Linked DNA regions of Saccharomyces cerevisiae S288C. Changing the gene in region 2 together with the main gene of any one other region gives a genetic interaction. Each region holds a gene or a part of one and is shown on either strand. Other genes may lie near its edges.

Region 1 (5,752 bases), on a different chromosome or scaffold from region 2:
ATTTCATCTTCAGACTGCGTAAAAGCTGTTGCTGTTAAAGATTCTCCGATATTATTATCTCGTGACGATTTTTTAACAGGTAGTTCTGTCTCATTCTCATACTCACCCTTACTTTCCGTAAGCACAACTAATGACTGATTGCCCATTATTATTACCTGTTTGAGATTCTCTAATTGCCTCTCTTTTTACAATCGTACACTTTGAAAATGTTGTTTTAAACTTAGAATATGCATTTTATTCATTTTATAAAAACGTCTCATTCTTCAGACGTTTATAAACAACTGTAATAGTGTCAACTTTTATATAAAGGTCATCTTACCTGAAAAGTGTAAGTTCTGAAGGTAGAGAAGAGGTCAAGGCAGACAGGATCCTGCGGCTTGACGTCGTCGCTAACGAAACGAAGTAGAAAAAAATTAACAGGTTTGAGTCAGAGAAAATTATCGTTCCACATTGGTGACTCGGTCATTAAGACAACAAGTGCCGGCAATAAATCGCTTACGTAATCTGTGGCAGAATGAACAGGTTAGGTGCATAATACCGCCATTCCATTAGTAATCACTATATTATTTAGTTTATACAAAGAAATCGGAGAAAAAAAGGGAGAAACACCTTGGCAGGCCGCCTTAGGCTTCCTTGGGCTTTGTCTAAATAGTCCGATGGATATGCATTATACTTCAGGCTCAGCACAGCTATACTACTCGTCAGGATGCGTGTTGTCTTCCGCAGAGGCGCCCAAAATATTGGCTGCATACATAAATGTCGAATGTTGCACTTGTGCAAGGTATTGGGCCATGACGTCAGATCCTGGTATCGTTCTATGCCTTGCAAAAGATCCTCTCTTCTTCTTTCTGTTATTTGCTGTTTCGCCATTTGTGAAAATATCTTGCATTGGCGTTTCGTTGTTCTTCGAGTGATTATATGACAAAGTTGAGGGAGCTCTTGGAGGAGCTTGTCTTAATGACGACCTATAATTGAGCTGTGACATTCCTACGGCTTCTTCCTCGTCTTCTATCTTTACTGGTCTCTTACTATTAATGACGGTCTGACTCGAGCTTCTTAGAGTTTGTGATTTTAAAGCGTATTCAGGATCGCTCGGGGAGTGCATAATGACCTCGACGTCTGATGACGAGTCGGAAGATCCCGATGACTTGTTAAATATATCTTCATAATCAGTTTCATCCGATGTCGCACGTTTGACGTCAGAGCTCGCCACAGCGAGACCCAGTCCACCGAAACTTCCAGTCTCATTACCGTTTTCATTTTCAGCCTCTAGTTCACTTTCATTTTCATGCCCAGTATTATTTGCAGTTCCTGTTTCACCACCGCCGTTGTCCTTATGTGCGTCCAGACTAATTCCTAGGGATTCCAAGTTCAAGGGTTTATCAAAAGCCTTTTCCTTTTCATCGATTTCATTCTGCCTCCTCTTTTCTTCCAACTTACTCAAACGTATATTATAGCTCGGTCTTTTAACTTTCTTATAGAATCTTGAATTTTTACCTGCTATCAAATTTTTGTTTATATTGCCACAACGATCTTTGCCGTAGTTTATCAGAAGGCCCTTATAACGGCCACCGAATTTTTCCTCAGTCGCCCTTTTAAGCGTCACTTCACCGGATTCATTTTGTACTGTGGATTCCTTATTCATTTCTTCAACAAGACTAATCGCAGAAGATATATTCATGAAATTTATCCAACAGCAATGGCTATCACTCAAATAGTTAATCTGCTCAATATCACCATAGGTACTAAAGTCCTCTCTTAGTTGTTCCGCATCTGGTAAAGATAGTGTTTCATGCAATTTTTTGTACTGAGGGTCGTGAATAAACTTTTCCTTAAATGCAAACTCTGGTAGGCTTACGTAGACATTCCTACTTGCCCCGATCGTAACAGCCAACGAGATTAATTTCGGTAATGGACCAGAATAATGCCCCCATCCAACTCTCAACATATTCCCATGTAACACTATTGGATCAATAAATGAATTTGCATAGAACTGTACAGCGGATGGAGCTTCGATGAAAGTAACAAAGCATATCTTCTTCTCCGGTATGTACTTAATGCTCTGAAGGATTCCTCCACGCACGACATTACAGATATCCTCCGCCTTTGATCTTGGATTAATGTTTCCTATATAAATTGTTCTATTGCCTATGTCTGAACCCATGGATGATGCCACTTTGGCCGAAACGTTGAAATTTTGCTCCAAACTTTGAGTTATTGGATTCGGCAACACCCTTTGATTCATTTGCAAATTGGGGGATACCGGAGAAGGTGTGGCTATTAACTGTTGAGGTATTATCGCTCCATTGGACTGATTAGAATCATTCATAAACATATGTTCATTTAATGGCAAAGGTGATGGGATATCTTGAGAAAATTGCCTAGAGTTTTCTGTTGTCTTTGAAATTTTGACATTGCTCAAGTGAGTAGAGTGTTCTTCAATAGTTGGTGTTTGATAGTCGCGATAGTTGATTTCTAAATAAGTCCCATCAAGTTCTACCCCTTGAAGTTTCGTCGCAAGCATATCAATCTCTTCATTTAAAGATACAGATGATGACAGACTGGTTAAACTCATATTAGAGTGACCGTATACGGAAACACCAATACTACTATTATTATTGAGTGTGGTGATACCACTCATATTACTTTTATTATTGTTTCCGTTGTTGTTGCTATCGTTATTGTTCCCAGCAGTAACAGAAGGCACCGATAAACGATGTGTGCTCGTTTTACCCTCGTAAATATTAGCAACCGAAGATCTGGCTGAGCTAACTACCAACGGGGCTAGGGATACGTAAAAACATTTAGAAATGCCTAAGTTTTTGGAGTATTTTTTCAAATAATCGAGAACTTCAATAGCCATAGAGATATTCAAAAAGGTTAAAACGGCGTAATTTTCAGGAAATTGATTGGAAGGTACATCTGTGTTCACTAAATCGATAGATTCCAAAATGTATCTTTTGTTTTTTGACCTGTCCAAAAATTGTAATTTCTTTTTGAATAAATCGCTTTTCTCCACGGGGCTTTTGAATTCAATTATAATCGACCTTGTAGCATCTTTGTTCGCTATATTATGATGCAGCGAAGCACTGATCATTGTTGAACCATTGGTAATGTCGGCTTCTTCAGCGTTTTCTGTTAACGCTTCACTCTCAATAAAGGTAGGGAGGCATTTGGGATCATAGTTTAGACAAACAAATTTCAGATTTAGTGCTTCAGATTTCAAAAATGTTTTGAATTCAGATAACCTTTGTAAAATGTTATTGTAAAAGTTCAAACAGTCGCCTTTGGTTAGAAAGCTTATTAGAATGGATAGATTTTTAGTCTCTACATCTTTTGAATCATCGCTCTTCCCTCCTTCAATTAAGTAGGCACTTTCCAGAGTATTGGATTTGACAAAATTTTTGACTATAGAGTGTAAATCAATAGAATGATCCACATTTTCAATAAGCAGCGACCTAGTTCTATAAGCATCATCACCAGTCGGTAGAACCTTGTAATTAATACAAAAGGGTCTTTGTAAAAGCATTTCTGGAAGTATGTCGTCGAAAATGTTATTCCTTGCGAATGTTCTTCTTCCACTGTTGTTCCGGGTGTCGCACCCCTTATTGTTGTTGTGAGTAACATTCCTCGTACTGTTGTTGTTCCTCGAGAAAGAATTTCTCCCCATTCTATAATAGTTCGAGGGTGTTACCATTCCGTTATTAGTATTGTTTTGGTTACTGTTACTGTTTCCGTTGTAACCGTTATGATTAGAAACGGGCCTCGAATAAGCCTTTCTTTTGAGATTAGATGATCTTGCAGAATTATAGCCACTTTGCATGTTAGGCGAGGAAACAAATGGAGATCCCATCAATAGGTGAGATGGAAAAAGACTGGCACCGTATGCAGTATCAAAAGGTGTTGGTGGAATATTAGGTAATGGTGAGTTGGTGTAATATGCTGGGTGTTGAGAAGGACCATATTGGCCGGCACCGTTTACGAAATCAACAGGATGATACATCATTGGATTTCCCACCATGGCGTTCATCCCATTATAATCTTGCTGTTGACGGTATGCGTAATTCGCAACAGGTTTTTTTGAATTGGAATTTGACATATTGGAATCCTCAAAAAAAACAATAGAAAACGGATTCTTGCGAGTCTTGTTCGAGCCGATCAAAAACCCCTTCCTTGATAATATAAACGAACGACGTGAATGAGCCAACTACACCTCTTCAGTCTTTGGGATATCTTCTCTGGATGCTTTTCACGTAACCTGAAACAAGGAAAAAGGGCAGGTTTGTTGTGGTGTTTCTATGCTTGATTTTATTTTTTTTTTTTTAGCCCGTTGAGGCGCAACGAAAGGGGAAGGGTGACCAAAAATAGCACGTAAAAGCTGTGAATAAGGTGAAAGTGACGCTAAATTGAAAGAAAAATCCCAGTGACCATCGAAGCGTTGATTACTGTCTTTCAAACACAAATGTAGGTTGTTTATATATATTGTTTCTTTATTTTAAGCTATGCACTTTCTCCCCCCCAAAAAACAAGCGTATTTGGCACATTAGGGAAATGTGATCACTAGCATATTCTCCCTCGAAAGGTTGGGAGTGTTTGGGCATTTCTTGTGCGCACGGCATCCTCAGATATCCGATTATTTTTACGTTGTTATTTCCTTCAAAAGCATTCAGAGGCTCTTTCTGACGCGTGTCCTGATTATGATCACCCTCGATATAAAATATGTAGTCTAATAATCCACACCATGTATTGGCCCAGTTTGAGAGTCCCGGTTCGCCGTGGCTTCCGTTAGCATTTTCAGGATGCACTTTACCGTAGCCAATCCCATACAAAGATACGCCTTTCACATGTAGTGAATTATGCAACGCAACTAATTGATTTACCAGAGCCTTTTCTTCCTTTGTGGCTGTAAAGCTCTCTGGTTTTGGGTTTTGTGGTTGATCTGAATGGCCTTCGCCCCTAGACTTTTCATCACACTCTTCATCATCCTGGTCACTTTCTTCTCCATTCCTTTTTTTTGAATACCGATACGCTAGTGAGCATTCCACCATAGCTCTTATTGGGCCTTTTAATATCAGTGGTCTTTTCGTTATGGCCAAGTACGGTGGCTCTTCAGGTTCGGTATTGAAATCACCCATCAGTAGGCTATGCCAGCCATTATATTTGGAACATGCTTTAATTTCCTGGATCTTTTGTAAAACCAAGTAAGATTGCCTTAATCTTTCAAATACCCCAAAGGGATGCCAAAATAGGTGTGTATTTGCGACGATAATTCCTCTTGATGATGAATCTGTTATACCCTTGAAATATAGCGATATAATAAGGGCAATATTTTTAGTTCTTGTTCTTGCTGAAATGACATTTCCCGCCAATATATTATCGTAGTCCAGCATCCAATCATTATCTAACTGGAATTTTTTATTGTTCCATGCAACTAGTAGTCCATGAGTTTTCCCTTCATGCCTTTTGAAAATCACATCAAACCCTAACTTATGGAAATTCTCCTGCCAGAAGTTGAGTTCATTGTAATCGACCTCCTGCAACGATACTACATCAGGCCTGTACTTTTTCAATTCGTGGACCAAAACTTTTGATCTCTTATGCCACTTTAACGCTGGTCCACTTTCTGGGAAAAAATCTCTCCTAATCAAGGTTTGTGCTAGAGTATTATAGGTCATTATTTTAACGTCCAATGAATCTTGGGTGACTTGTATGGTCGCTGGCGTAAGACCTTTCGAATTATCATGGTTGATAG
Region 2 (3,284 bases):
CGCATTGTTCATCAACTAACTATGGTTCTGTTGCGTCATTTGGTTCACAATCAACTTCAGCGTCATATGATGACGTTCAAAGGTACTTACAGTATCAACAGCAAGACATAGAGGACTCACAATCTATCTACGAATATAGGCATGACGAAGTTGTTACATTTTTATACTTGTCTGCACTGCTAACATCTTGCATTATGGCAAGTGTATGTCTGGGAATCGTTTTATCCTTGTTTCGCGGGCAAAGTAATAATGAGATAGATTTAGAAATTCAAAATATTCTCATAGCCATTATTATCATTTCCTTACTGGTTTCCCTTATTTTGATCTGTGCGTGCCTGTTGTTGTTATTTAGTCGGTTCACTTTGGCGCCAATCTGGCATTATGTTGGTTGCTTCACAATGTTTTTCTCAGTTACTGGAACAGTGTGCTATGGTATGATTGAAATTTTCTTTTAATTATTTTGGACGATAAAAGTTTTTCATGTGTACAGTCTATATAAAATATGCATATCATGTGGTTACATAAGAAGAATGTTAATCTTGTTTGGAGATTTTGTTTTTGGAAACTTCGCCATTGCGAAGGGTGTTGCAAACTGAATTTCTGTTTAAGTTTTTAATTAATAATCCTTATTTTGATCTTTTCTGATGGCCGTGTTTGAACGCATAGTATTGTGAATATAAGCGAAGTGAAAACCTTTACACCTGCGGCAGATGCCATATTACTGCGCTAGTGGTGAATATTATTAAGCGTGCTATCAAAAAGAGATGAAAACGTGCTAACTAAAAAGGACTCAGATTCGTTACACACTTAGCCTCGAATAACGATCAGGATCTGTTCTAACCACAACTCCATGGACAGCATGCAATGTTTGGGCTCTTGATAACGTCCCCCCATCAGTACTATCGTATATATTAAAATCGTCTGCAAAGCTCGAAGCATCGTCGGGGATTGAACAGTTATCCAGGTTATAGTTAGTAACATTTCGGTCACTCTTGCTAATATCTTGTTCGATTTTTTCATCGGGTTCTTCCTTTTGAGCTTGGCCACTTTCTTCGTCAAAAGTATTGCCTTTAGCTAGGAATCTAAACCTACACCACCATATGAAATGAGACGCGAAAATTCCTAACTCCATTCCAGCAACTATTGAGTATAATATAATACCCATAATATCCATATTACCTAGGATAACACTGATGATAGATAGCCAAGCACCTAATGAATCGATGAATAAGAAGGCAAAGTTGATGCCAATAACACGACCTTTCCTTTTGGCTAGTTCAAAGTAAGGTGGAAGCAGTCCGACAGCTAACAAAACAGATGCAGAAATACCAAAAATCAGATCGGGCCATTTAACACCCTTCTCGTAAAGGGGCCTCAGCCATAATATAAAGCCAACTTCCATGCCAACATCAGCCGCAATAATAGCAGCTACAATCATTACTATTTTGGATCTCGCCATACTGATTGGTGGATAATAACACGATTGGACGAAACTTATAGAACAGAAGAACATAAAAAGGTGTGGTTGAACTTGTAAAATGACATTACCTTTACTAACACAGAAATATATGGCAAATGGAATTCCGGAAACAACCCAGAGGAACATCATCAGTGGTGGCAGCCCCGTACAGTCCTTTTTTTTCCAATTATATATTATTTGCGGAATTAGCTGGACACACCAGCAAACTGTTGCTATAGTAGCTAAAGCGGTAGCAGCCTTTTCAGAGATCATGAATACCTTATTCTTAAATCTATGTTATGTTATAGTATTCCACAGTTTATATTTCAGCGGTTAATTTGAAAATAGAGATCAGCGGAAAGTAGAAGGCACCAGAAGGAAAGCATTATTTATATGAGTTTCGTTTGGTACGAGAAGTGTGATACAGAGGTAATCTACCTATCTAGTCATTGAAAAATGCTATCAAGAAACGGCGTTCTCATATTACCCGAAGCACCTTATCTGGCGCTCACACCGCGGAAATAATTGGGTGATATTTTAGACAAACGGACTTTAATGTCATGCTAAGATAAACGTTCAGTAATGCAGCAAATGCTTATCATGACGACTCGTTTACAAGGTAAATTCGATTACGAAGAAGGTGCGGACAAAATAACGATTAATTAAAATACAATAGGTATATAAAATAAATAGAGAATAAATATAGTGTAGTTGCTTTACAGAAAAATGAAATAAACTGGAGTACGGATCACCGAAGAGGAGGTTGTTCACTTTCAGGTTATGATGTAATGAAGGTGGGAAGTTAGAAATGTATTAGTTGGCGTATATCTAGAAATAAACAACCCGATGCTTGGGAAGGAACTCAATGTAATATAATACTCATTTTGTTTTGCAAAAACATTATAACTCTTAATTATTTCTCCACATTTCTAAACCCAAAAATAAAACAATCGTCCTCTTGGTTCTCCGAATCCCAAGATGCTTAAATACCGGTGTTATCCAAGAAAAAGTAGTTTCCTGATGATTTTTGTTCTTTATCCATTTGGGAATCTAGCTTATTAATTCTTGGTCTGAAGGAGTTTGGATCCCTTCTGAAGGTGACATTCAAATTCTTCAAAAATCTGTTACAACCAGTCAACAAAGATTCAGGGGCTCTTGCGTGAGCATTCTTGGAAGGAATACCTTCAAAAACAATGACCTTATCAGCAAGATAAGTAGCCATGATGAAATCGTGCTCGACAATAAACGCAGTTTTCTTATTATGTAAGATGAATCTTCTGATAACTTTAGAACAGATAATACGTTGTTCGGAATCTAAGTAGGCAGATGGCTCATCAATCAAGTATATGTCTGCTGGGATACCCAATGCCAAGACGATGGCGACTCTTTGTAATTCACCACCAGACAAATGTTGGACTTCTTGATCAATAATATCGTCAATCCTTAAAGGTTTAACGACATCAGTCTGAAACTGTGGATTTAGGAATTGTCCTCTAATTTTCTTGAAAAACAATTGTCTGACAGTACCTGGGAACTTTGGTGCAATTTTTTGTGGTTTCATAGAAACATTCAATTTTGGAATATCTTGTCCTTCATCTGGCTTCAAAGCACCAGCTAGTAATTTGATCAAAGTGGTCTTACCGGTACCGTTTTCACCCATCATAACAAGGATTTCGGAATCGGAGAATTCACCTTCTTCAACATTCAAAACAAAATCACCTTGAGTTTTCTTCAAACTTGGGTAAGAGAAGGCGCGACTAGCAGAGTCATTCTGCAAGTCTTCGGTAGCATCAGCTATTCTAAATTGTAAAGCTTCAGTTCTGAA

The links.
Region 1: mutations in ILT1 (region 2) and NAB6 together harm fitness more than expected from each alone (negative genetic interaction), as found in Saccharomyces cerevisiae (one large-scale study listed by BioGRID).

What each region holds. Positions count from the first base shown.
Region 1 is NC_001145.3:32,590-38,341, reverse strand, and holds NAB6 (Nab6p), read right to left. Parts: upstream 4,100-5,752; coding exon 695-4,099; downstream 1-694. Other genes in the region: ATR1 (borate transporter), read right to left, coding at 1-146; NGL3 (3'-5' poly(A) RNA exonuclease), read right to left, coding at 4,491-5,752. UniProt on the Saccharomyces cerevisiae protein: RNA-binding protein that associates with mRNAs encoding cell wall proteins.
Region 2 is NC_001136.10:624,267-627,550, forward strand, and holds ILT1 (Ilt1p), read right to left. Parts: upstream 1,733-3,284; coding exon 800-1,732; downstream 1-799. Other genes in the region: VTC5 (Vtc5p), read left to right, coding at 1-455; RLI1 (Fe-S cluster-binding ribosome biosynthesis protein), read right to left, coding at 2,442-3,284.